Linked DNA regions of Mus musculus: all the other regions are reported to be linked to region 4. The links are microRNA targets in miRTarBase. Many come from high-throughput screens and were not tested one by one. Region 4 holds a microRNA gene; each other region holds the end of a gene's coding sequence.

The links. The annotated mature microRNA mmu-miR-741-3p reads UGAGAGAUGCCAUUCUAUGUAGA and lies in region 4 at 3,858-3,880, opposite strand. An mRNA with a match to its seed (bases 2 to 7 or 8) in the 3' UTR can be bound and repressed. Matches are read on the target gene's strand: a 7mer-m8 pairs with bases 2 to 8, a 7mer-A1 pairs with bases 2 to 7 and ends in A, and an 8mer does both.
Region 1: miRTarBase lists Pla2g4f as a target of mmu-miR-741-3p. Seed matches in the 3' UTR shown: 7mer-m8 at 1,458-1,464.
Region 2: miRTarBase lists Dnajc1 as a target of mmu-miR-741-3p. Seed matches in the 3' UTR shown: 7mer-A1 at 3,106-3,112.
Region 3: miRTarBase lists Rasgrp1 as a target of mmu-miR-741-3p. Seed matches in the 3' UTR shown: 7mer-A1 at 5,653-5,659.

What each region holds. Positions count from the first base shown.
Region 1 is chr2:120,294,612-120,301,735 of GRCm38, reverse strand. Pla2g4f (phospholipase A2, group IVF) reads left to right here. Exons shown (of 20, transcript NM_001363073.1): 19 at 653-839; 20 at 1,108-1,770. The coding sequence ends at 1,331. Among named protein-coding and RNA genes, the nearest start is that of Pla2g4d, 9.1 kb to the right of the region's middle.
Region 2 is chr2:18,211,479-18,218,602 of GRCm38, reverse strand. It overlaps Dnajc1 (DnaJ heat shock protein family (Hsp40) member C1), which reads left to right. Exons shown (of 12, transcript NM_007869.3): 12 at 1,278-4,854. The coding sequence ends at 1,346. It overlaps Mllt10 (myeloid/lymphoid or mixed-lineage leukemia; translocated to, 10), which reads right to left. Exons shown (of 23, transcript NM_001252560.1): 23 at 6,213-7,124. Among named protein-coding and RNA genes, the nearest start is that of Gm39761, 18 kb to the right of the region's middle.
Region 3 is chr2:117,275,987-117,283,110 of GRCm38, forward strand. Rasgrp1 (RAS guanyl releasing protein 1) reads right to left here. Exons shown (of 17, transcript NM_011246.3): 17 at 3,997-6,690. The coding sequence ends at 6,556. Among named protein-coding and RNA genes, the nearest start is that of Fam98b, 30 kb to the left of the region's middle.
Region 4 is chrX:66,792,952-66,800,075 of GRCm38, forward strand. It overlaps Mir741 (microRNA 741), which reads right to left and starts at 3,924; the gene lies at 3,854-3,924. It overlaps Mir463 (microRNA 463), which reads right to left and starts at 6,346; the gene lies at 6,272-6,346.

The DNA.
Region 1 (7,124 bases), not on the chromosome of region 4:
TAACCAAGCCCCTTAACAGGGAACGAGGAGGCGTTGGAGAAGGGACGGCCATATTAGGGGCAGGAATGAAAGACTAGCTTGATGGTTGGCTTTTGCTAATTATTGCTAATTCACTATGCTCTCACTAGACACTTACTTCCAACTGTCTTAGTTAGGGTTTCTATTGCTGTGAAGAGACCGTGACCACAGCAGCTCTTCTAAAGAGAAACATCTAACTGGGGCTGGCTTACAGTTTTAGAGCTTTAGTCCGTCATTCTCATGGCAGGAAGCATAGCGGCCTGCTAACTGGGGCTGGCTTACAGTTTTAGAGCTTTAGTCCGTCATTCTCATGGCAGGAAGCATAGCGGCCTGCAGGCAGACACAGTGCTGGAGAGGTAGCTGAGAATTCTATATCCGGATCTGCAGGCTGCAAGCAGGAAGAGAATGAGATACACTTCCTCCAACAAGGCCACACCCACTCCAACAAGGCCACACCTCCTAATAGTGCCACACCCTATTGGCCTGTGAAGGCCATTTTTATTCACACCACCATACCACCTTTATTTGGCAAATAGAAAGGTGTCTCAGAAAGTCACTCGGCTATACAGAGCTAGTATGAAGCCTGAGTGTGCCGCAGTCCAGTTGGGGATCATAAGCTTACCTCTCTGTCCAGGTCCTGCAGGTGACAGAGAAGTACTGCCGGGACCGAGGGATCCCCTTCCCAAGGATTGAGGTGGACCCCAAGGACTCTGAAGACCCCCGTGAATGCTATCTGTTTGCTGAGGCAGAGGACCCCTGCTCGCCCATCGTGCTGCATTTCCCTCTTGTCAACAGGACCTTTCGCACGCACCTGGCCCCAGGTAAGGGGAAGTCACAAGCCTGCTCTAGCCTCCAGGGGAAGATGGGATGCTAGTCTGAGAGCATTGCCTGGAGGCCTGGACTAATCTCCGCTGCCTGGACCTCTGTGTCCACAATGAGCCATCTCTTTCTAATGGGCCTGAGAGTTAAGATGGCCTCTCTGAGGGAGCAAGCCAGATCACCTGTGCAGGAAAGTGTCCAGGGCTATCAGCTAGCCCCCAGTCAGTTTCACAGAGTACTCCAGCCTAGTCTTGCTTTTCCCACTCCCAGGTGTGGAACGACAAACAGCTGAGGAGAAGGCCTTCGGGGACTTTATCATCAACGGGCCAGATACTGCCTATGGCATGATGGATTTCACCTACGAGCCCAAGGAATTTGATCGGCTGGTGACCCTGAGCCGATACAACGTCTTGAACAACAAGGAGACTATCAGGCATGCCCTCCAGCTGGCTCTGGACCGGCGGCGGCAGGCTGGGGGAAGGGTTGGGGGCTGATCACATGAGAGTCAGAGGACTGTGGTGGTGTGATGGAGGACCTTAAGTCAGAGTATGCTGAGGGAGAGGGAAGACTTTAAACACTTTCTGTTTTCCACTTCTCCTTCCCAGAGAAGATGGGGCAGTATCTCTCTCTCTCTCTCTGAGTGCTTGGGGGTCCTGTGCAGGAGAGAACAGAGTTCATATTATATTGGGGTGTAGAGAGCCAGGCAGCAGCTTCATCAGAAGGCGCACCCCCACCCCCACCACAGAAGGACCTCTGGAAAGAACCCAAGCATTCAGAGCTTCACCACAGAGCTGTGGGCTGAGGAACCAGCTGTCCTTACACTGATGCAGAACTACAGCTGCTCACACTTCCACAGAGTGGCCCAGCTCTGACCCACTCCAAACCCCCGGACTCAGTGATGTGGAGAATAAACAGCAGCTATGTGGGTCGCCAGCCTGTGTCACTGAGCCTGTGTTCTGGTTCTTCTCTCCATCCTAGCCCCTCCGCCCTCCTCAGAGGTCATCAGGCTTCCATACTGAGGCTCATGAGATTTGTACCAAGATGACCCATCCTGATGGCTGGGCACATTGCTTTACCCAAACCACGTTTTCTGCTTCATATATACAGCTGCCACACTGTGCAAATGTTGTCTTCCCGTTCTCAGGAGACAAGTGGGTAATTTAGATGGGGCTGGGTAAATGGACAATTGCATACATTGTATATGTGGGTATATATTCCCATCTATGGTGGGCCAGTTAGTACCTATTCCTTCACATGGGATGAGCCAATAAAGTGGGGGTGGATCTAGCCTGGATTCCTGCATCTGATGATCTACATAGATCCCTCTCTTTCCCATCTCTCCTGATCCACTTGGGACCTTCCAAATATTGAGAATAAGTAGAATTCCAAACTGTAAAGAGGAGATCCATCCTGGTCAGGCTGTTTCCTGCTGGGGACAGCATACCATGACATGGATGGCATCTGGGACCCTGAGAAACAGGAGACACATCCCTCCAGGAGACCCACCATCAGAAATAAGGAACTGCTCACAGCAGGCCTGGATGGAGACATCCTAGAAGCCTGCGACAGCTTATTTATAAAAAAGTGTTCCCATTTCTCCTGACCCTTAGCCCTGGACAAGGGCTGCATAGATCTCACTTGTGTGTGAGTGCTTTTTAGTTGGCATTGGGGTGCATAATTATTCTATTATACTTGACTTTCCTATTTCTTTCTCCATCTGCTCTGGTGAATTCTATGAAACTAGATGTTTCTTGATGTAATGATTCTTAAATAATTAAAAACTGAGGCATGGGGCACAGCACAGCCATTCCTAGTGGCCCAGGTGCATGCTGTGTGCTCTCATCTTGGAAACAATGTAGTAACTGCACAATGGTAGCTCCAGATTAATGCTTGATTTGCAAAGAAAGTTTGAAGAAATTATGTTTAGAAATTAAGAAAGTGAAGTAGAGCCACACACTATAGAGTCATACAGGGTCCATTACCAGAAAGTGAAAGAATTTACTGGAACCATGAAAATCATTAGTATAAGAGACACACTAGCCAGGCAGTGGTGGTGCACGCCTTTAATTCCAGCACTTGGGAGGCAGAGGCAGGTGGATTTCTGAGCTCAAGGCCAGCCTGGTCTACAGAGTGAGTTCCAGGACAGCCAGGGCTACACAGAGAAACCCTGTCTCGGAAACAAACAAACAAACAAACAAAAAAGACACAATCATGGGATAAATGGAATAAGAAAACACAAACACAGTGTCTTACGTAGTGTTTTACTGCTGTGAACAGACACCATGACCAAGGCAAGTCTTATAAAAACCAACATTTAATTGGGGCTGGCTTACAGGTTCAGAGGTTCAGTCCATTATCATCAAGGTGGGAGCATGGCAGTATCCAGGCAGGCATGGCACAGGAGGAGCTGAGAGTTCTATGTCTTCATCCAAAGGCTGCCAGTGGAAGACTGACTTCCAGGCAACTAGGGTGAGGATCTTATACCCACACCCACAGTGACACACCCCTTCCAACCAGGTCACACCTATTCCAACAAGGCCACACCTCCAGATGGTGCCACTCCCTGGTCCAAGGATATACAAACCATCACACACAGGATACTTTAATTCAGAAAGGGAGAAGCTATTGAAGTTATGAAATGAGTTTTGCACACATTTGAGAGTGGTTCCTCATCTCCTTTGGATATGCATGGATATGCAAGTAAAGATTAGACTCCTGAAAGAAGATATAGAATGCATAAAATTCTATTCTAGTAGAACTAAGTTAAAACACTGGGACTCTTAGGAGAGTCATTGTGTGCAATGTGCAGAGGCAGAAGCTAGCAGAACTGCCAAGTAAAGGGTTAACTTGACTCTTTCTGGCCACTGCCTGGCACCTTTGCCCATGTCATTTTTCATTAGAGCTTCACAGGAAACCGTATGTAGCTGACCTCAGAGCTCGGAGCTCTGAAGAAAAGTAAGTCAAAAGTTAAAGTTTAAATGATAAGTTTGCAATTATTATTTCCACAGGCCTGGGAATAGGGGAAAATTGAAACTTTGTGGAACAACCGTAATTCTTAATTCTTTGTGAGATGTGGTCATTCTTTTGAATTTTGGTTTGGTAATGATTATACAGTGTGTGTCTTTTTTTCTACCTGCTTTATGGAGTAACAATAAAAGACTGGGACAAGTTAAAAGGGAGGGAGAGTGCGTGTGTGTGAGTGAGTGAAAGAGAACGCATGTGAGGTGTGTGTGGTGTGATGTGAGGTGCTTGTGAGGTGGTGTGAGGTATGTGTGAGGTGGTGTGAGGTGCATGTGAGGTGTGTGTGAGGTGGTGTGAGGTGCATGTGAGGTGTGTGTGAGGTGGTGTGAGGTGTATGTGAGGTGGTGTGAGGTGGTGTGAAGTGTATGTGAGGTGGTGTGAGGTGCATGTGAGGTGGTGTGAGGTGTGTGAGGTGGTATGAGGTGTGTGTGAGGTAGTATAAGGTGTATGTGAGGTGGTGTGAGGTGTATGTGAGTTGGTGTGTAGTATGTGTGAAGTGGTGTGAGGTGCATGTGAGGTGTGTGTAAGGTGGTGTGAGTTGGTGTGAGGAGTGTTTGAGGTGTGTGTAAGGTGGTGTAAGGTGGTGTGAGGTGTGTTTGAGGTGTGTGTGAGGTGGTATGAAGTGTGTGTGGTAGTATGGGAGTGCAAGAAAGGGAGTGAAAGAGAGAGCACACCCTCTAGCCTGAGGAGGAAGCAAAAGTGTGCAACCTCAGATAAATAGATAGATAGATAGATAGATAGATAGATAGATAGATAGATAGATAGATAGATAGAGTGCAACCTCAGGCCTTGAAATTTGTCTGTCAGCTCGTACCCGAAAAGTTGTCTGAATGTTTTCATACGAGCCCTCCAGATATCCCTGCTTCCAGTTGAGAATCCAGATGCTGTGTTGAGGCTGGACCCCGGTAGTTTCCCTCTGATTTGTCTCCTTAGCCTCATCTTCCTCGACCAGCTGTGCTCTGGTGCTAAGCCACCTGTTGCTGTGTAGTAGCTGAGTTTCTGTACTCAGTGGATCCCTCGCTCACACATGTGCACATCCAAGTATACACGAGTGCTCCAAGACCAAATTTACAGCTCAATTCCTGTTTCAGTTGGGATGCCCCTTCTCTGGGAGTGCCACCTGCCTTAACTTTGGAGAGAAGGCCCTAGTTCTATTGCCTGTGAGGTGGTGTGAGGTGTGTGTGAGGTGCATGTGAGGTGTGTGTGAGGTGGTGTGAGGTGCATGTGAGGTGTGTGTGAGGTGCATGTGAGGTGATGTGAGGTGCATGTGAGGTGTGTGTGAGGTGGTGAGGTGGTGTGAGGTGGTGTGAGGTGGTGTGATGTGTGTGTGAGGTGGTGTGAGGTGTGTGTGAGGTGTATAATAGTCAAAGTTCCATCTGTGCCCTGTGTCCTGTGTGTCCTGGGGCTCAAGCTTCCTGCTGATGTGAAAGTAAAGCAGGGACAGGGACCTTTCTTTGGACTGACATGCAGTAACCAGCTTGGCTCCTCCCCCTCTTCTCACTATTGCTGCCGGTCTCTGGCCACTCCTTGGCTTCAGTAAAGGGAAGTTTATTTGGAAGGTCCTGCTGTGGCCATTGTCACCACTGCTTGCCTGCTGTTGTCAATGACAATGTTTATTGAACTCTCATAACCGTTGGCACTTACCACTCATAGGGTGCACAGCTAGAATCTTTATTCTGTCTTCAAGGCTTAGGGAGTCAAGTAGGACTCTGGCTCCAGTTGGAAGGGAGGGGCTTTTGTCTGCTGAGGCAGGCACTGAGAGAAAGGATCCTTGGCCACTCTATCCTTTTTCTCAAAGTAGGGTCTGCACTCTGGATTCCCTGGGAGCTGAGGCAACGCAGATGGCCAGGTCTGCTTCAGGCCACGTTCCTTTTCCCAACATCCCAACTTTGTGCCCCCATGGGACTCTAAGAAGGCTTTCACAATAAAGCTGGGGACAATTTTGTCTGGGTTTCATCTGGCACTGGGTTATCTGATCAGCTTTTTCTGCCTCCCTGAGCCTCTACTACTTTATCTTCCTCTCTTTTCCTTGGTTCCTTAGAAACTTCACTCCATTTCCTGGGAGCGTCTCAGGGGCCATAAAAAACGCATTCTTTCAGGGTTGGAGAGATGGCTCGGTGGTTAAGAGCACTAACTGCTCTTCAGAGGGCCTGAGTTCCCAGCAACTACATAGTGGCTCACAACCATCTGTAATGGGATCTGAGGCCCTCTTCTGGTGTGTCTGAAGACAGCAACAATGTATTCATATACATAAAATAAGTAACTCTTTAAAAACAAACAAAAACCCCCACCTCATTCTTTCCCATCAAACAACGTCCCTACTTCTTCATTTATTTGGTTTCAAATATAACTTTTTTCCCCCAAGGTGTTGTGGTTGTTTTGAGACAGGATTTCTCCGAATAGCCCTGGCTATTCTAGATCTCACTTTGTAGACCAAGCTGGCCTCAAACTCATAGAGATCCACCTGCCTCTGCCTCCTTAGTGCCGGGATTACATGCCCAGTTACAAATCATCTTTTTGAGTGATTTCAAAGACAGCTCTGTTGTGAAGCATAACCCTTCTGTTCTCTATGCTTTTTATGTCCCACCTGAGCACATGTGGAGACCAGAGAATGACTTTCAGGGCTCGGTTCTTTAGTTCACCATGTGGGTTCCAGGGTAAGCTCGGGTCTTCCGGCTTAGTGGCAAGCACCTTTATCCACTGAGCTACCGCACCAGCCCAGAATCCAGTTCTAAGGATTTCGTAAATCTGTTTTCCCAGATAGCAACCCTAATTAGCCCCAAATAAAAGGAGTATTCTCTCTCTCTCTCTCTCCTCTCTCTCTCTCTCTCTCTCTCTCTCTCTCTCTCTCTCTCTCTCTCTCTCTCTCTCTCTCTCTCTCTCTCTCTCTCTCTCCTCATCCTAATTGATACCCTTTTCAGGGCTTGAGTGGAGTGACAGTCTAGAATGTTCCCGAGTTCTTCCGGAACGCTTTAGCTCTTGTTCATAACAAACTATTGGAGGGAGACTGGCCTAGACACCTGGGATGGCCCTGAGACACACTCCTATTTTATAAGCTTAAAGCTCACACCCCTGCTATACTGAGTCCAAACTAAAGTAATGGCTGAGGAATGCTTGCTTGAACTTTTCCATGGCTCTTTTCTGCGAAATTCCAGAGGCTCTGATCTGGATTAAACATCTCTCCAGCCCTCTGTGGCCTGCAGGGTAGCACTCCGGATTCCTGAACAGCAGCAGGGACTGGACAGTGACCGTGCCCCAGGCAGAGG
Region 2 (7,124 bases), not on the chromosome of region 4:
AGTGCTCCCTGAAGGCTGTGTTCCAAGTGTGAGGCACCCGGAGCACACAGAAATCAAAAGCAGCCTCTGGGCACATTGAATTCCTTAATTGAAATTCTATGTTGGAAAGCCTAGCTTGTGGCCATGCATATCCCTGAGTGCACAGGTCTACCTACTTTACGTTGATGAAACTGAGTTTCTGGAGAGAAAAATAAGCCATTAGCAATTAATCTCTTTAAGCACAAATTCTTCCAATCTCTACAGCTGGTTTGCCGAAAGTAATTATTTCACTGAGTTTCTCTAACTTCTGTCAGACTCAGCCATTTACATGTGTAATAAATTGAATTTTGCTCAAAATTAAAGCAGCAGAGAGGAGCAGAACCTTCTTGTTTGCCCCAGAGAGGAGCAGGGCTTCCATGGCCCACAAGTATCCCTTAGCTTTGACTGCAACCTAACCCCACAGGCGCGGGAGGGATGCCCACTGACCATCTGGTGTCAGCTGCCTTGGAGGGAGCTCAGGTTCTGTCAGGAGACACTGCCTCCTGCCTGCTCAGCCTTCAGCACTACCCACACTGTCCTGTTGAGGGCTGAATGCTGAGTGGCCATGGCTGTTTCTGTGCTAATACTTTGAAGGCATGGGTGGGTGATGGTGGAATGTAGGGAGGCACTCACCACAAGATGCTCATCCTACACTGATGCACCCATCCTGTCCCGGGTACCTGATTAAGGACACTGTTTAGCACAGCAGTCATTTGCCCTGGACCCTGAACTAACATGCTTACAGTACCATAGGGTTGGTATCATCTAGACAGGAAGAGAATAGATTCTAAAATATATATCATGCCCACCTGAAAATAGCGGCCACTTCCTTCCATCTTCTCCACCTTTCCCACTCCATGAGGTACCGTCCATGCTAGTTCTGTGCTGCATAGGAAGGTCCCAGCAGCCACCAGGGAGAAGCACGAGCAAAGCATGAGAGCATTGTAGCCCCAGGTTTCTTGGATTCTCTGGACTGGGATGTGATGAGAGGGAGTTCCCATGGTAGAAGGGTTAGCAAGCTGAGTGGGGACGCCACACTGCACTCCATAGGCAACCCTCAGCTATTCCTGCAGCAGATCTTCTCTGACCAGGTCTGCCTGGGACCAACTAGGCTTTCCCAGAAGATTGTAAAGGAAATGAACACAGGCTTCTTCATTAGGACTGGGCAGTAACTCGCAGAGAGGTCACAGCGAGCTGACAGCACCAGGAGCACTGACCCAAGAAAGAACTGTCACCACCTCTTTCTTTATTTCCCACAGGAAGACTGCATTGCTAGATACAAGCTGCTGGTTGAACTGGTCCAAAAGAAAAAGCAGGCTAAAAGCTGAATCTTCTGGAAGGTGACGATCAATGACCATCATTTTCCAAACAAGTACTCGAGAAATCTCATGCAGAAACTTATATTTTGTACCTCAGTATTTCTAAACATCATGTGCCTTAGTAAAAAAAAGAAAGGAAGAAAGAAAGAAAGAAAAAGAGAGGGGGGGGAGAAAGAAAGAAAAAAAGAAAGAAAGAATGAATCAATTATAGATGCTGTAAGGTGCCATTTACAGGCCTTCCTTGTGTTTCCAGGGGAGAGTGTGGTGCCAAAAATATGAGGTCCTCTGTTGGCCAGCGAAGGAGGGAAAAACAGGTGCACCAGGTGGAATTTGAGATAAAGCAAATAAGTTTGATTGTCAAATGAGAAATTTAAGCCTGGAAGGTGGTTCAGTGGATAAAACCGCTGACTGCTAAGCCTGCCAGTCTGCACTCACTCTCCAGCAAGCACATGTTCACAGGAGCTGTCCTCTGACCTCTGCATTCATATTGTGGTACAGCACACACATCCGAGCCCACATAGACACATGCACATGAATACATGGATCTAAAATTTTTAAAGAATTTCTTGCTTTTGTTTGAAACTTGAAAACGCTTTGGGCTTGTTCTTCAGTTTTGTTGTGTTTTGGAGAGAATGCTTTGCTTTTGTGTATGTCTGTGTACCAGAAGACGACATTGGATCCCATAGATCTGTTGTATGGATGGCTGTAAGTCACCATGTATGTAGGTGATGGAAATTGAACTTCAGTCCAGCCCCTTGTTTGAAACTTTAGAAGGAAACTTCAAACTGCTGCCAAGCAAGAGATGTGCTCCACTGGCTACAGTGTGCTGTTTGTGGTCATGCCCAGTTCTACACAATGACACCTCAGTACCCAGTATGTTACTGTTAGCAGGTAAGGCCTCTCAGTGTGATGAGCTGTTGCCAAAACTCAATGTCTGCCCCTTCGCCTAAGGTCTCAAAGACAAACCAACAACTCCAAAGTCCATGCAGGCTAACCTTATATAGTTTATATAGGGTTACTTACAGTGGATGAGGGCTTATGGGTTGGAGCAGAGGTGACCTTAAAGCAGCCACACTGGAAGGTCTGCAGCCGGAAGGGATGGTGTCTTCCCAAGGCTTCATTGAGGGAGCCAGCTTCCCTAATCCTTCCTACCTACAGAGTCTAACACCTTCCAGAGACCCTAAAGCACATGCAATTAGAACAGAATTGCATACAGCTGGATAGTGGGGGTTGCCTGGCTACTCACATAACTGTTCCATGACTCCCTCCCCAACCCCTCCTTTCCAAGATGTGAGTCCAAGTCTGTCAAGCAGACCCAGCTGGCCTCCTGAAGGTGGTGGCAATTTGACCTATTATCATGGGCATAACCACACACAAAGTCCCTAGGAAGCCAATGGTCTTCTTCCTCTCATTGAAGAACAGGCCTGGCAAAGATGCACTCTGGCTTCAGCCTCCAACTTCCAGCAGAGCTGCTTCTGCTTTTAGCCACTATGCATGTTGTTAAAGAGTGGTTTTCTAGAGAGGCCCTGTCCCGTAAGTACCTGTGGACTGTCGTTAAGGGTGTCAGACATGGCCTCCCACTTACTACTTACTTTTCAGCTCGTTATCCGTTTCCTGAACCTCTCCTCACATCCAACTTGCTCGCATCACTGTCCACCCAAGTACTGCACCCATAGCATTTTCTGATCCTGAAAATCAGTATGAGTCCTCTTTTGATCACATTCTTTCATGGGAATAGAAGTAAATGCCCCACATTCTGGGACGGAACTCTCTCAACTAGTAGAGTACTTCCCAGCATTCATGAAGCCCTGAGAGTCTATCCCCAGCACCCTATAAACCTGGGTGTGGTGCTGCATGGCTGTCCTCCCAGAACTCAAACCGTGGGAGAATCAGGTCACCTTTAGATACAGAGTGAGTTCCAGGCCAGCCATGCTGTGGTGGTCTTCATGAGATGTCTCCCGTAAGTTGCTAGCATTTGAATACCTGGCTTTGTTCCAAAAGCCATTTCAAAGTCAGCTTTGCTGCTTGTGGCTCCTGTAGGCCACTCATCCCATGAACTGCTACTGCCACCTCCATCTAGCCACCAGGGACTCATACTCTGGAACCATAGGCCCCAGATAAACCCTTTTATAAGTTGCTTTGGTCATGGTGTTTTGTAACAGCAACAGACAAGCAACTAATACAAGGGGGAGGGGGAGCAGGAGAAGAGGGGGAGAGAGAACAAGCGGTGTATTCAAAGTTGCCACTGATTGGTACTGAGCAGAGCCACTGGGGGTCAGTATCCCTAAGGGACCCGAACTTGCTTTTCTATGCCAGAACATGTCCACGTGTTCCCCTGAATTCTTCACATCAGCCCCAATCCCCAGTCCTAACATGGGTCCTATCTTTGCTACCTCTTGTCCCTCTGTACTATGACATCTTACTTCTGTTCTGTGATCATGCTATGTGATACTGGTGCAGTGAGCCAAGCAACACATAGGGCTTCCACCTCCTAGTCTTCCCCAAACAGCCAAGACTGTTTAAAGGCCAAGTATTTAAATGCTAGAGACTTATGGGAGACAGCTCACTGAGGCCACAGCATGGCTGGTCTGGAGCTCACTCTGTAGCTAAAGATGACCAGATCCTCCTATGGTTTGAGTTCTGGGATGACAGCTATTCAGCACCACACCCAGGTTTTCACCTATCCTGGGGCCTGGGAAGGGCATGGGCAGGTGAGGGGCCCTGAAGAACAGGGTAGCTGGTTTGCTGTAGTGGAAAGGGTCTCAACCCCAACAAATCTCAAGTTCCACACTGGCTCTATCCAGGAAACTATCCCAGACAGCACTACAAAAAAAAGTCAACAGGTATTACCTGCCTCAGATAATTACTGTGCAATGCTTACATGGCCTTGTGTGACTAAACCATTGCCTCACTAATCTGTGAAACAGGGAAAACAGAGTCTGGCTATGTCAAGTCTAGAGGAAGCTTGCTCTTGTGGCAGCAACCAAGGAAAGAAAAGCAATACATGCTTGCCAGGAGTCACCATGTCTTACAGAGCAGTTTTGAGGAAATCAGATGAGTCAGGTTGTGTGGCCCAGCCCAGAAAACCCCCTTCAGGCCACTTCATGCTATTCCAAGTTTGCAGCACGAAGAAGGCTGGTGAGAAGTAACTGGATAACAAATCTCCTGGGGCCCTCGATCTAGAAAACAGCATGTCTGGCTCTGCCTCTCTTTCCCTCACTGCTGTCCCCATCAGCCAGCCCTGGGGCCCATGCTTTGCCTCTTGCCCTGTGCAGCTGCTGACAGCAGCTTAGCTGCACACATGTTCAAAGCTCTTTTCTGCTCTCCTATCAGACTCCAGTGTTGTACAGGTCCCACCCTCCGGCTCCCCAACAACCCCTTGCTTTGCCAGACAGGTCGACATGGTGGAAGCTGCAAAGGTTCACCAGGAACTTAAGGAACTATATAAAGTTCAGCTCCTAAAATCTAAACTCTTTCATATGTGCCACTTTAATAAAGTAACAAAAGTAGGTCAAAACTCTGTGTATGTATAATATTTTAACTATAGGAATGTAATGGAAAATGTTTTACATGGGATATGTGTGTGTGTGTATAGCATAAAGACTGGGGAGAATAAAAAAGAGGGCTTCCTCTTTGGTGATAGGGCGCTAGGTGTCCTTCACTTTGCTGCTAACATTGAGAAAGGCTGGACATAGCTCAGTGGTAAAGTAGTAGCTAACCCCTCCAAGGCCCAGGATCCTAGTTCCAGTGTTACAGAAATGTTTCCTTTTAAAGGCTTGCTTTAATTTGGACAGAAAGAGGGTTAACAGGGGTGGCTGGTTCGTTTTCTGATACTGATTTCTGAGACTGGTTTACAGGTTGACCTTGAATTTGAATAACCTTGAATTCCTGAACCTCCTTGCTCTACCTCCCAAGTGCAGAGATTACAGGTATAAGCCACCATACCCAACTGTAGCACTCTCCTGTGGGTTTGATCAGAACTATGAACCACACAGCAACAGCAAAGGGGCGCTCATCCTAAGCCCTCTGCTCCTAGTCCCGAACCTGTCCACAGAGCTGAGGGTTGTCCCTTCCTTTGTTTTGTTGGAGCAACAACTTGATGAAACAGATCTCAGCATAAGAAGTACTGGAACTGTGGGCCGGAGACCAGCCCCTTTGCTGTTTGGGATGCAGGTGTCATCAACACATCTGGCCAACAGAAAAAACTTTCTAAAGTTCATTTCTTTGTCTCTTCCTACAAACCTAATTCAATCTGTAATAAAGCTGGGGACTTAGGGCTGGAGATGAAGCTCAACCAGAGACTCATTGCAGGGAGCCCTAGGTGACAGCACAAACCTGACATCCTACTGCCCAAGCTTTAACAGGAAGTTCAAGGGCAGCCTTAGCTACCTACGTCGAGTCCAAGGCTATCCAGGATACATGGCCCCTATCAAAACAAAATACAGTTAGGAGCCAAGGGTTAGGTTTTTTTCCATGTTCACTCAACTCTTAATTACCAAGAAGAAATACCATGCATCTCTGTACTCTGGGGTAAAAACTATGGTGAATCTGTGATCCAAGGATCACTGAACACATAAGTATTTGTGTTTTAGAGAATGCCTCTCATTTACTCTAAATATGTGAACAATAGAATTTAGTTTTTAATCAAGTGTGCTATGAACAAATCCTCCTATAGAGCCAGTTCCCTTCTTACTGTGGACACCACCCACGCTGCTCAGTAATCACTGCCATCTCTGGACACAGCTGGGTGGCTCCATGCTCTCCTGCACAGCCCACCCCTGAGAAATCGGACAGCTACAAGACAAGCTCCCCACGGAACTGCGCACAAGAGCTCAGGACAGCCGCGTTTCCAACAAAGAAGGCAGGGCACAGAGCTATAAACATCATTAAATTTTATTAACAAAAACTTTGTACATTTTAATACATGTGGAATTTTACATCTAAGTAAAATAACAGCACATTCAAAAATTTACCATTTATACAAATTGTTACAGAATAACAACCAGTGGGTTACATATATAAAATAAACCACACTGATTCTTTTAAATTATCTACAAAAGGTTTGACTTTCTTTAAAATTCCCCTGAACATATAAAAATAAATTAATTTTACTTTTCAATTAAATCTACCAATTAGAAATATTACAAATCAAAATATCAATGTTATCTTATGAATTTTTCACATTACAAAACAGATTCACAACCTTATTTACAGAAGTGAGGTAAGAGGTGTGCAGTGTCACAGAAGACAGACTGCTAAGCCGTGCACATGGTCTTCCAGCTAAGCACACAGTGGAGGTCGAACTGCAGTTGGGCCTTTCCCACCAGTAATTCATGTGTTTCAGAAACAGACCAATGATTATATCCCCAACTGTCTAACCTACTAGGCTGCCATATTGTCACAATCAAGAGCATGGCTACTCGGGGCATGGCTAAGTCGGAAGGCTGTGGGACAGGTTTTAGGAACTGTGGTGGTGTGCCTGTTCCAGTGGGTGGTTTGAGGCTGATGAGATAAGCAAGCATGTAGACTCTTCCCAGGTCTACTTGTTTCCTTGTGGACAGTCAGTTTGCCTGAGCTCTCTCTGGTGGCACAGAAAGGTTCAACAGAGACAGAAGCACGGGGAAGCTGCTGGCACAAGTGGCCTGCCCGGCAGTACAGAGCCCTTTCTATCCAGGGAGGTCCCAACAGGCAATTTGATGCTAGAACCTTGCAGCAGTTTCCACATTGGTGTATCTTTCTGAAAGAAACTGTTCTCATCCAATTGATCTAGTTCTCCCAGCAGCCTTA
Region 3 (7,124 bases), not on the chromosome of region 4:
TGGAGTTCCTTAATCCACTTAGATTTGACCTTAGTACAAGGAGTTAGGAATGGATCAATTTGCATTCTTTTACATGATAATTGCCAGTTGTGCCAGCACCATTTGTTGAAGATGCTGTCTTTTTTCCACTGGATTGTTTTTGCTCCCTTGTCAAAGATCAAGTGACCATAGGTGTGTGGGTTCATTTCTGGGTCTTCAATTCTATTCCATTGGTCTACTTGTCTGTCCCTATTCCAGTACCATGCAGTTTTTATCACAATTGCTCTGTAGTAAAGCTTTAGGTCAGGCATGGTGATTCCACCAGAGGTTCTTTTATCCTTGAGAAGAGTTTTTGCTATCCTAGGTTTTTTGTTATTCCAGATGAATTTGCAGATTGCCCTTTCTAATTCGTTGAAGAATTGAATTGGAATTTTGATGGGGATTTCGTTGAATCTGTAGATTGCTTTTGGCAAGATAGCCATTTTTACTATATTGATCCTGCCAATCCATGAGCATGGGAGTTCTTTCCATCTTCTGAGATCTTCTATAATTTCTTTCTTCAGAGACTTGAAGTTCTTATCATACAGATCTTTCACTTCCTTAGAGTCACGCCAAGGTATTTTATATTATTTGTGACTATTGAAAAGGGTGTTGTTTCCCTAATTTCTTTCTCAGCCTGTTTATTCTTTGTGTAGAGAAAGGCCATTGACTTGTTTGAGTTAATTTTATATCCAGCTACTTCACCGAAGCTGTTTATCAGGTTTAGGAGTTCTCTGGTGGAATTTTTAGGGTCACACACACACACACACACACACACACACACACACACATATATATATATATATATACTAACATATCATCTGCAAAAAGTGATATTTTGACTTCCTCTTTTCCAATTTGTATCCCCTTGATCTCCTTTTGTTGTCGAATTGCTCTGGCTAGGACTTCAAGTACTATGTTGAATAGGTAGGGAGAAAGTGGGCAGCCTTGTCTAGTCCCTGATTTTAGTGGGATTGCTTCCAGCTTCTCACCATTTACTTTGATGTTGGCTACTGGTTTGCTGTAGATTGCTTTTATCATGTTTAGGTATAGGCCTTGAATTCCTCATCTTTCCAAGACTTTTATCATGAATGGGTGTTGGATTTTGTCAAATGCTTTCTCAGCATCTAATGAGATGATCATGTGGTTTTTGTCTTTGAGTTTGTTTATATACTGGATTACATTGATGGATTTCCGTATATTAAACCATCCCTGCATCCCTGGGATGAAACCTACTTCGTCAGGATGGATGATTATTTTGATGGATTCTTGGATTCGGTTAGCGAGAACTTTATTGAAGATTTTTGCATCGATATTCATAAGGGAAATTGGTCTGAAGTTCTCTATCTTTGTTGGGTCTTTTTGTGGTTTAGGTATCAGAGTAATTGTGGCTTCATAGAGTGAGTTGGGTAGAGTACCTTCTGTTTATATTTTGTGGAATAGTTTGTGAAGAACCGGGATTAGATCTTCTTTGAAGGTCTGATAGAACTCTGCACTAAACCCATCTGGTCCTGGGCTTTTTTTGGTTGGGAGACCATTAATGACTGCTTCTATTTCTTTAGGGGATATAGGACTGTTTAGATCATTAACCTGATCTTGATTTAACTTTGGTACCTGGTATCTGTCTAGAAACTTGTTCATTTCATCCAGGTTCTCCACTTTTTTTGAGTATAGCCTTTTGTAGAAGGATCTGATGGTGTTTTGGATTTCTTCAGGATCTGTTGTTATGTCTCCCTTTTCATTTCTAATTTTGTTAATTAGAATGCTTTTCCTGTGCCCTCTAGTATGTCTGGCTAAGGAATCTTGTTGATTTTCTCAAAGAACCAACTCCTCCTTTGGTTGATTCTTTGAATAGTTCTTGTTTCCACTTCGTTGATTTCACCCCTGAGTTTGATTATTTCCTGCAGTCTACTCCTCTTGGGTGAATTTGCTTCCTTTTGTTCTAGAGCTTTTAGGTGTGTTGTCAAGCTGCTAATGTATGCTCTCTCTAGTTTAATTTTGGAGGCACTCAGAGCTATGAGTTTTCTTCTTAGAAATGCTTTCATTGTGTCCCATAAGTTTGGGTATGTTGTGGCTTCATTTTCATTAAACTCCAAAAAGTAGTTTTACCAGGACAGTTTTATAGAGAAAGGTTGCCGAATGAGCCAGAGAATGAGAGAAAGAGATTGTCAGAGTTAGTTTGAGGCCAAGCACAGCAATTCAGTTGGAAGCCAAGAAAAGCCAGTTTGAATCAGTCATCTTGGAGGATTAGATTGTAAGGAGGCTAGAAGCTTCCAGGCTTAGGCCTAGGGATAGTTAGAACAGAGGAAAAAATGCTCTGGGCTCTGCCTAAGCTGAGCGTTTGTACAGCTCGGGTACAACTCTCATCTCATCCCTTTATCTGTGGAAATAAAAGTTACATTTATATAGTAGGCAAAAAAAGTTTGTTGAAAAATTTTGCATTTCTTCCATTTTATAAGCATTGCTTGCTAACAGTAAAGGACAATTTACAGCTACTTTTTACTTTTATTTATGACAGGCTCTTGCCGTGCAGTCTAGGGTGTTCTTAAAACTTGGCTCTCAAACTTGGCATCGTCCTGCCTCAGCCTCCTGAATGCTGGGATTATTGGCCTGTAGTACAATATCTGCTCTGCTCTTTTAACTGTTCAGCCCTAAAGATTTATGTAAATATGGCAGTGACATTAGTTTATTTCTGTTGAGCTTTGTGTTTGTTTGTTTGTTTTGTCCCTTTTATGAGTGCTGTTGGGGTTTTCCCCAACAACTACTGGAAAGTCTTTCCCCAGTTGAGCACTTCTGGAATTACAGTGGAGTGGAGCCAGTTCTGTATACCCAGCCTGTGAACTTCATTGCAGCAAGAAGATTTGCTCAAAATGTGTTTGCACACTGCTTGCTATGTGATGCCTGGTCTGGCAGTAGGGCGACTTAGGGCTTTTATGGTTCATCACACAAGAACATTATAAATGGATTAGGTAGGGCACATGGACATTTGTGATGGATGGCATTTCACAGTTCCCTGAAGCCTGATACCTTTTTGCATGTTGATTCTATTTTTAATTTCATGGGGTTTTTTTCCTCCTATTTTCTTATACTTACTGTCTTCCCCCTTTTCTATGTCTTTATCCACCTATGAGCATCTGTGGACAAAATCGGACTAGAAATTTCCAAATTAAAGTAGCAACTGAGTTTTTCCCCTGGGCTGAGCGAGCTCAGTACCATCCAACCCCATGAACTGACATCAGAGGGAACTAGGTGTTTCTCATTTACCAGGACTTGTGGCAAACCGTGAGGCTTTGTAGCCAAAACACATAGTGAGTGATATCTGGTTTATCCACTCTGTAACGAAGAGCTTGTGGTGAGATCTGTGAGCTGGGAATGAGGGTGGGCAAGAAGCACTTTCACCTTCTGTTCAGGGTCAGCTTGTCAGAATGACTTCGTTATTTCACCTAAAATAACATTAATTATGGAGATACACCCCATCCCCCAACCCAAATGTACCACAATGTGCAATGTGTGAGTGGCTGGCATCCTCCTCTGCATGGGTCCCATCATCAAAATCTGGATAGGGAGAACAAATGGTGCCTCTGATCACTCCAAAGAGTGACCACAGATGAATTGCTGAGTGGATCGGGACACGAGACTGAACCGTCTTTCTGTCTACTTTGTCTTCTTTCCTTACTGGTTTTCTTAGCTAGAACTGTGGCATTAAGATAAGAGCCACAGGAGATGATAGCTTTGGCCCCTTTAATTGGTGTTGAGCCTTTGACAGACTTGATGTTCAGAGAGGTCATTATAAGGTGGACATATCTGCATTGTTACTTCCTCATCCTGTAAAAAAGGAAGAACATTTTAACCCAAATAAGCTAGGGGTCCCCCCCCAGAAAACCCTTTTTAATAGACTGGAGGAGCATTTTTGGTTTGAATTCCAGTAAAAAGTTTAACAAAATGCCTACATATGTATAAAGTGAAGAAGCACACGACTTTGAAGTTATAGGGATCCAATGTTTTTATGATATAAATATGAGACACAGAAAACATAAAATAGGTATAAAATATCTTACAGTTTGTACAGTTCTTTCGAAGCTTTTACAGTATACATCTTTAGACAATTTCACAAGTGGTCAGTAAATGGGTGAGTCACTCCACAGAGAAGAAGAGCAGAGACATTGCTGTTCACAGACAGGATCAGTCCTTGCTTTGGCAGACACCCATCTGCCCAGACATTTCAAGACAGCCTGGTAAACAAAACCTCATGTGACAGGCCAAACTTTGTTCCAGATTGTATCAGGAGATCCCACCTGCTCCTACCATTCTGCAGGAACAGTACCAACTCAGACTTCACACATCCTTTGTCTTGGCTGGAATGTAAGAATTTGTGAGGAAAACTACTGTCTCCCACTATCTTTCCTGTCCTTTCTGCTGTCTGTAAGGTCATCTAGCTGTGATAAATGACTGAGGCCCTCTGAATTCCTATATTACAGATTATTTACACAAAATCTCACTGGGAGATCTTTATTGGGGATGAGAAATAAGAAAAAGGCATTGTCTAAAGAATCAAGCTCTACACTTGTACTAGTGCATAACAGAGTGAAAATACAAATTTTGAGGTCTTCCATTAGTCCTATCACTCCATAAAAGTTTCCACATAATATAGACACCTGCCAGAGGCGTAGTACCAGGTGCTATGCTTTTCACGTTTCTGAGATGGGATGTAGAAGAAGGATAACTGTGTGTAAAGTAGTTCATTAAAGTTTAGAGAGACACTCACCACAAGCCAGCTCTTTGTCACTGAAATGCTCCAAAGAGGTGTGCAAACAGGCAGTGGTCTTTCATCAAAGGAATATCTTAAATGATTTGAGTCCTTTAGGGGGCAGCACCATGTACAGTTCATATTCCTCTGTAGACTTTATGCTCTTGGTCGTAGGGTTGAAACTTTTAAACACTTTTTCCTTTGATTTTTCCAGACAGAGTTTCTCAGCATATCCCTTGCTGTCCTGGAACTCATTCTGTAGACCAGGCTGGCCTCAAACTCACAGAGATCAGCCTGCCTCTACCCACCGAGTGCTGGGATTAAAGGCATGTGTCCCCATTGCCCAGCTAGGTTTGGAACTTATTTAGTTCGATGAGACTCTTAAATTGCTTGTCTTGCATATTAAATTACAAGTTAGTGTGGTGCCAGACCTTCCTAGCATGGAAACAGTCTCCTCAAAAGGACACAATCAGATGAGATGTTTTTTGAAAGCTAAAAGGAAGCTGACAAGAGAGTTTGTGAATTGCTTCACAGGCAACAAGACAAACCCACTGATTTTAACCTTCACGAAAGAATACTGGGACACTGTTACTCACGGTTTTGTTAAGCAGAACAATTTACATTGTTAGCAGTTTGCCTTATAATGAGCAGAACTATACTTGCAAATTTGTGTAAGTGACTAAAAGGTGTTTGATTCACGTCTGCATTTTCTAAGGGAGAAGGTCCAAGCTCCATGCATGTCTGATACTATATATATACATTCTACACACATGTAAATACTGCCAGCTATGAAAGCCGTCACACCCATTAGCTTATTTGTAGATAATAAAAGTGAAGACAACTTAAGCACAAATTCAGTTCAAAAGAGAACCTTATGATAGATTACTTGAGAGAGAGAGAGAGAGAGAGACTAGAACATGAAGAATTAAACACTGTTCACAGACCATTTCTTTTAAAAAGTCACAGATTCTTAATTCTACCCACTATAGAAAGACTATCTGGATAAACGTGTTATTGTGGTTTGACTTAGCTATTTAGCTGTGTGTATGCCATGGTAATTGCTGTTTGTGGGTAGTGAGTGAGTTTTATTTTGTATTTCATAATGACTAAGACCTAGAGCTATAAGTTGGCCTGCAATTAGACAATGTCAAGTTCAATTAAGAAGCTCTGGATTTAAAACCAGGCTACATCGCTAGGAGTTCACTTCTAGGTAGATGTGCTGATGTGCCTATAAGCAAGGGAGGAAGGAGGCGGGCAAGTGAAGGACAGTGGGGAAAGAGGCTCTTGATGAGGTCTGAGGTAGCGAACACTGTAGGGATCAGTTTCACAAACAATGCAGGCATGTCAAAGTCACCACGCTTAGGCTATTGTTTCCGTTATGAGCGGGGTTTGGGTAGAACAAAGTAAGTCAGTTTGCGGAAGGCAGCAAATGGATTCACCAGGGACTCTTTATCTAAGTATGAATCAGTAAAGCGGGCTGCCTGGGACACCCTCAGGAAACTCTAGACTTATTTTAGCGCATGTTTGGTATTGGTTTCAGTAAAGAAAGAAGGTTAGAATAGGAATGCTCAGACTTTGCATGCTTGAGCTTTTCTTCCCTTTGATTCAACTGACTGAAAACCAACGACTCACATTAAAAACCGTTTAGGTAAAAACCAAGGATGTCAACAGTAGTGGCCAGCTCTACCCTTTTAAAGTCAGTCAATCTAAAGGTGCTGAACGTCTGCAATGAGTTTTGAAGTGAGATCCCAGTATACCCTCCTGCAGATTCTGGTCCTTGAAATTCTGGATTAAGCACTATCACCGTGGTCCATCTGGGCTAAGACATGATTGCTTTTCCCAAGCTGCAGGGATTCTATTTTCTTCTGTGCGTACTTCAGTTGGATCTTCAGAGCATCGTTATCTGCTTTCAGGGTATTTATTTCCTAAAAGGAAATGAGAATAAGGTGTGGTAATAGAGCAGCAGTGAATAGGAAATTAGTGACAGTATCAAGAGCATTATATTTGATTGGCATCTCCTGTTCCCTGTGGTTAAGAATTATAAACTATTTTCAAAGCAGTTATTTAGCTGTGAGTATAAAAGAACACATTAACTATCATGGGCATGCACAAATAGCAATTACTCTTTGTTATCAGATCTCAGATGTGAGTGGCTAGCAGGACAGAACAATCCATTCTTGGGCATTGGGTGGAGGAAGCCACAACTTTTGGGTAGTGTGACGCAGGCATCGTAACTTGACAGAAAGTAGTCTGGTCTGGTCTGTTCTGAACTATGAAAGCAGTGCTTCAAAGCTCTGTGAAGTGAGATGTTACAGTTGATGTAACCTAAGTTCATAACCCCCTGTTACTGATAACTCAT
Region 4 (7,124 bases):
AAAATAAAGATTATGTCATGAACACATCTTAAATATGTCTGCTATGACAGTGACTACAGAGCATTCTATCATAAAGTAACATACTGTTGGTTTGTGTACATGTACACCACAAAGTCTACATGGTACGCCTGCAAAATTGTATTTGGAGCATGCTAGACATGGAAGAGTGACTTCTGAATAATGCAGAATATAGGACTTGTAGAATGAAGTGTTGCACTTACGATGTGACCATTATAAAATTAAGGCCTACCTGGGAATACACTTTCTGGAGGCACTTATTTCCAACATGTCTCAGAAAGGCATGTGAAGGATAACTGCTGTTACATATTCTAACCAATATGAAGAACATTATGAACTTTACTTTAACCACCATGGTGGTTTTCATAGTCATTCACTTGATAAACACCAAGGTGAATAAAATACAGCCCATAAGAAACTTAACTTCATCTTGAGCTTTCAACATATATGTTCAAGTATAGGGGACTTGCAACATGACCTAACATATTCACAAGTCTTAGTGAATATAGTAGACAATACCTTTTACCATACATGTTCAAAGGGATCCCTCTCACATTCATTTTGTGTCAACAAACCGCTTTGAGTAAGCTTGTTGCCATTTTCTTTTTCAGATTATGGAGTCACTGAAAGTTCTTTCTGTTTTTATTCTTTAAGTTTTTATTTAAAAATTTGTTTTCAAAGAATATACTTTAAGCATGTTAGTCATTTCCAACTCATTCCACAACTTTTTATGTAAAGAAAGCATTTCTCAGATAATTTCCATAATCCCCAAAGACATGTATGAAGACATGTATGAATTCTCCCATAGTAACATGATATAATACTAGTAAATTTCTTTAATATTCTCAGGAAAGGAAATTATACTACCTTTTCCCTTTTCCCTTCTTCTACATGGTTTTATTTAGATCCCATGTAGGAGGAGCTCATTCTTTTGTGCTTCTTCATCTATGTACATTTGCAAGGTAAATTGACAATACAAAATATATCAAGTAACCCTAACTCACCTACTAATATAAAAGTGACCTCAATGTTACTTGAAGTGAAAAGTCACTGCTATTTAAGACTATAAATCAAGTGAGAAACATGATGAATTTTAATAACCCAGAGAGAACCTAGTCAAATGTAGTCCCAGTATTCAGCATGAGACTAACTCCAAAATGTTATTTAACCAATTTTAGCAATAACTTAGCAAAAGCTTCATTATCCCTCTCAAATTTTATCAAATTGCCAATTTACGACAATACCTAAACTATTAAGAGTTATGAAGATCATGCTATCCAAACTGTTTAATTTCTCTTTGCATTTCTCAAAAATGAGAGCTGACGCTTTTCTTAAAGGGAATAAGGATTGCCAAAGAAGAGAATAAGATTTGTACCATATTTTCTTGTATGAACAAGTTCTCTCATGTCCTCTATTTCTTTTTATTCCTCTAATGGAAAAGTATTCATGCTAGGGTAATACTGAGTGATAGAGCATCTCTCATAAAGTATCTGACTAAGCACTCTTAGGACCAAAGCACCTGAGTTTAGGGGTAATGTACCTACAATGACATCACCAAAAAGTTGTATCTACAAACTGCAGTGGGGGAGGCTTACATTAACTCAGAGACACAGAAACAAGGAGAAAAAATAAACTTGTACATTTAAATTTTTATTTTCAGTATCTTAAATGTATACATTTTTCATTACTTAGCAATTTCTGTGACATCTATCACATCATCTATCATCTATCACAGCACAATACCTGAAAATCCATGTATTTTTTATAACTCTGAAGTGATGCCAAATTCTTAACCTCTGAGTCATCTCTCCACCCCAGTGGCAGCCTAGAGAATAAGAAAAGATTTTTACAAACTGCATTATCTGACAGAAGACTAATATGCAAGATATATAAGGAATTTAAAATTACATATAAAAATCCAATTAAAAATAGGGTATAGGTCTAAACAGAAAATTCACAATAACAGAAACTCAAATGAATGAGAAACACCAAAATAAATAAATGTGCAAAATCTTTAGCCATCAGGAAAATTCAAATAAAAACTACTTTGATATTCCATTTTACACCTGTCAAAATGGCTAAATATCAACATGTGACAACGTGATAGAGAAGATGTGGGGCAAAGGAAACACTCCTCCATTGCTAATGGGACTGCAAACTTGTACATCAAAAATAGAAAATATGGTGGTTCCTCAGAAAGTTGGGAACTGATATATCTTAAGATCCAGCTATACTTCTTTTGGGCATATACCTAAAGGATCTTCATCCTACCACAAGGACAAATGCTTAACCCTGCTCATTGCCGATCTATTCATAATAGCCAAAAATTGAAAACAATCCAATTTTTTAAGTGTCCCTCAAACTGAATAAAAAGCCTGTGGTACATTTAAACAATGACGTATTACCTGTTAAGAATGACATCATGAGACTTGCTGGGAAATAGATGGAGCTAGAAAAATAATCATCCTATGAGAGTTTTAAAAAGACCCAGATAGAAACATATGGTAAGCATTTACTTCTACGTGGATATTAGCCAGTGAATAATGATAACCAAACTATAACCTCTTTAGCCAGAGGGGTTACATATAGCAGAGGGAATAGTTTGTAACAATTAATGAAAAAGGACACTGTAAATTTGGAAAGAGCAAGAAGGAATATGGAAAGTTTGTAGGGAAGAACAGGATATAATTATATAATAATCTCACAAAGTAAAAAAAAAAAAAATAAAACCAACAACTTTTTCTATTCTATCACTTTTATCTAGGTAGGATGCTATTGGAGGCACTGTCTGTTATTTAGGGTGGCTCTTCTCATTTGAAATAATCTGACCCTGTTGCCTGTGGCTCATCTATTAGCTGATTCCAAAAAATCAGTCAAGCTGAGAGCAATAGTTAGTCATTATACCATTACTACCTAGAGGTGATCAAACTCATTTGGTTTCTTGAGCCATAACCCCTAGACAAATAAATAAATGTATGCAGTATGTATGTATGTATGTATGTATGTATGTATGTATGTATGTATGTATGCATGCATGTAAAACTAATCTGCAAACACTTAAGCAATGCTGAGTGGAAAAAGTAGCTTTTCACAGGGATAAGCCAGCAAATTAGTTATTTAATACCAAGTAGTCTACCATATTATATACATACTCACATATTTATGTGCACACGTGTACACACACACACACACACACACACACACACAGAGAGAGAGAGAGAGAGAGAGAGAGAGAGAGAGAGAGAGAGAGAGAAAGGGGGCCATATGGGAGAGTGGAGGGTGGGAAGGAAAGTGAGTCAGAATTATATTTTAATTCAAAAACTTAAAATTTCAAAAGAGAAAATACAAATGCTAATATTCTTAATGTCTATTGTGAGAATTCGAGTAGCAGCAAACCTCAAAGTTCACTAAAGAGCATCTAAAATGAACATAAACATCATTATATGCGACATACAGGATGAAACTTACAGTACATGTAGAATGAAACTGTTCTCATTTAAATCAAGTCACCATCAGCATCACAGCATAAAGCAGCAAACAAGAAGCTTATAAAGAATCTTCTTATTATGCCTGGATGCCATGCCCTCTTGCTTATCTGAAAGTCTGATAAAACAAATATAAGACTATATTCATTTTATTTTTTCAGATTAAGAATAAAATTATCAATGTCCATATTTGTATTAACATATCTAAATGTGTTCTGAAGGTTTAAATTAAGTCCTCCTTAGAGGATATAGTTTCTGAAGGCACAAGATCTTAACAAAGATCGGGAAGCATTATACTTAACACTGCAATGATCTTCCAAGGCCACAAAAAAAGAAGAATGTTATGAGCCTTAATCTACATAGAATGGCATCTCTCATGCTTACATGATTTACATGATAGGTACCAATCTACGTAGATCAATGCACATGAGACATTTTATATACTTCTGATAGAAAGCTAGTCTGTCACCTTCAATTAGAAATCATAACTCCACAATTCTTGCATTCTTACCTCATTTAGTAGTAAATCTTAGAGAATACCTACCAATTCTACTATATCATGATTTTCTTTCACATAGTATCATCTTATGTCACCATTTCTATAAATAGTTTTCACTACAGCTAATATTCAGTTTTTTTATTCAAATTAATACATCCAGCACGTTTTACTTACTAAAAATGTTTTTCCCTTACAATATATTCTGATCATGCTTTCACCTATTCTCAGATCTGCCCTACCACCTCACTCATCAACCCCAAACATCTTTCCCTTGATTTAAAAAAAATGAACTAGCAATAACACAAAACTCATCAAAATGAAAGTTAAAGAAAAAGCAAAAATCAGAGAAACAGTTACCATTACAACTATGCATGAAACATATATTTATTATTTCTAAATACTAAGGATAGTAAAACATACTTTTACCTTGTCAATCTTGCAACCTAGCCTATATCATATTCTTTTTTTTTTCCTATATCATATTCTAACACCATGGTGGGAAAGACATGCGTACATAAATTACCTAATTTTTATTTACTTATTTATTTATTTTATTTATTTCCTAACTTAATACCCTCCATTCATATAGTCTCAAAATTATTTGTGAACCAAATGATAGTAAAATATTATCATATAAAAGAATAATATTTCCTACAAGATCAAATGGCCATCTAAAATCCCAGAAGCCCCAAAACTTTAAGTTTTGGAATACCATTTTCATATTCACGAAGCCACAATAAATGAGTAAAGTTTTCTTCCACTTAGAGGTAAACACACATTTATTTCTGTTAATTGGAAAATTATATTCTACTTATAAATACTATAAAACTAGATTAACTTAAGGTTAAAAATAAACCAAAAATGTGAAGTCCCGCTTAAAACTCTTAATTATCACTCAAAATTTATCAATTCACCCTACAGCATAAAATATAAACCTTAATTGTATTTATATGTCCTTATGAAATAATTCTATAGTATTCTTTCCCACATATTTCCATCTAGTTATTATGAGCAGTTATTTGCACGAATGGCTGTCAAAATTGAGATTAAACCAGGAAAAGCTCATGATTCCTCAATCCTACACAAAGAACTATACACAACTAGAAAAGCCAGTATTGGGAGATGTCTCCTAACTCCCAGCACTCATGGAAGAACATTCCATTTGGTTGTCTAGTGCAAAACATTCATCCTGAAAACATACAAACAAGTAACACTATACAGACTTAGCAGAATATATTTAGGAATAAATAGCTATATAAAAATACATCAATACATTCAGTAACAATTATTGACAAACATCATCAATTTGAGGGAGAGCAGGGAGGGAAATATGAAAGTGTTTGGAGGGAAAAATAAGAGGTATAAATATTATAATTAAATTATAATTTAAAAATATACTGAACTAAATCTGTAATTTAAAAACATGTAATGATTGTTGTATCTGAATGTTTATAAATCTTGATGTGTCTGCAAGGTTAACATTAAAGAATAAATGCCACATGAAACTCAAGAAGAATGACACATGAAACTCAAGAAGAATGAAGACTGAAGTGTGGACACTATGCCCCTCCTTAGAATTGGGAACAAAACACCCATGGAAGGAGTTACAGAGACAAAGTTTGGAGCTGAGATGAAAGGATGGACCATGTAGAGACTGCCATATCCAGGGATCCACCCCATAATCAGCATCCAAACGCTGACACCATTGCATACACTAGCAAGATTTTATTGAAAGGACCCAGATGTAGCTGTCTCTTGTGAGACTATGCCAGGGCCTAGCAAACACAGAAGTGGATGCTCACAGTCAGCTAATGGATGGATCACAGGGCTCCCAATGGAGGAGCTAGAGAAAGTACCCAAGGAGCTAAAGGGATCTGCAACCCTATAGGTGGAACAACATTATGAACTAACCAGTACCCCGGAGCTCTTGACTCTAGCTGCATATGTATCAAAAGATGGCCTAGTCAGCCATCACTGGAAAGAGAGGCCCATTGGACTTGCAAACTTTATATGCCCCAGTACAGGGGAACGCCAGGGCCAAAAAGGGGGAGTGGGTGGGTAGGGGAGTGGGGATGGGTGGGTATGGGGGACTTTTGGTATAGCATTGGAAATGTAAATGAGCTAAATACCTAATAAAAAATGGGAAAAAAAAGAATAAATGCACCTTACTAAACTTTGGTCCTTTAGATACAAATGCCAAATTAAGGCCAGCAAGCTCTAACAAGGGTTAATGCTTCTATACCACAATGATGTTCCAGGTGATGAACATAGTGAACCTTCCTCTACCTTATATGGTGTCTATCATCATTTATGTTTTACATGATGGACAACAAATTAGGTAAAGCAGGGTACATCATACCTTTAATATAAAAATGTTGCAAATGTAGCTTCCATGATCCTCTTTATCTTTTAGCAAAGTACCAATTGTACATTGTTGCTAAAACTTGACATACTTTGTGTATAATATATATACATATATGTACACACACACACACAATCTACAAATTGTCACCAAAAATTCCTCCAAGAGAATATCCTCTGATGTGTCTTCTGTTTCAATTAATGGTATTCTCTACCAAGACAATACGGGGGACTGTAATTTCACTTATATAAGTTAGAATTTCTCGTTGAAGTTATTTTTCTTCCTCCTGTAACATGCAAGTATTAAAATAATTATTAGATTTGTGTGTTCAGCAAGGAATAACTACAGAACCCATAAAAATAGAAAAAGGCCACTGGGTAGAGAGTTGTGAGAAAAGCTTACTAAAAGGGTAACAAAACACAGGTGGTATGGAAGAGGAAAGGAGACTAATGGGGGGGGGCATTGTTTAACTGTGGAGCAAGGTAAGATTCTAGGATAAGTGAGGGAGTAGGGAAGAAATGAGTATCACAACTCTGTTTTAAATATCCATATAAGAACAATATATGGTAGATACAGTGACCTGTAGTTTGCGTAGATGATTGCCAACACTGTATCTGTAAAATTAAATTCATTTTATTAATTCATATGAAGAATAAACTAAATGTTTTGCACTTTTATGCTTACATACTTGTATATATTCATAAGGTGAGTACACAAATGAAATCTTCATTAAATATTGCCTTACCCAATATGGGATATC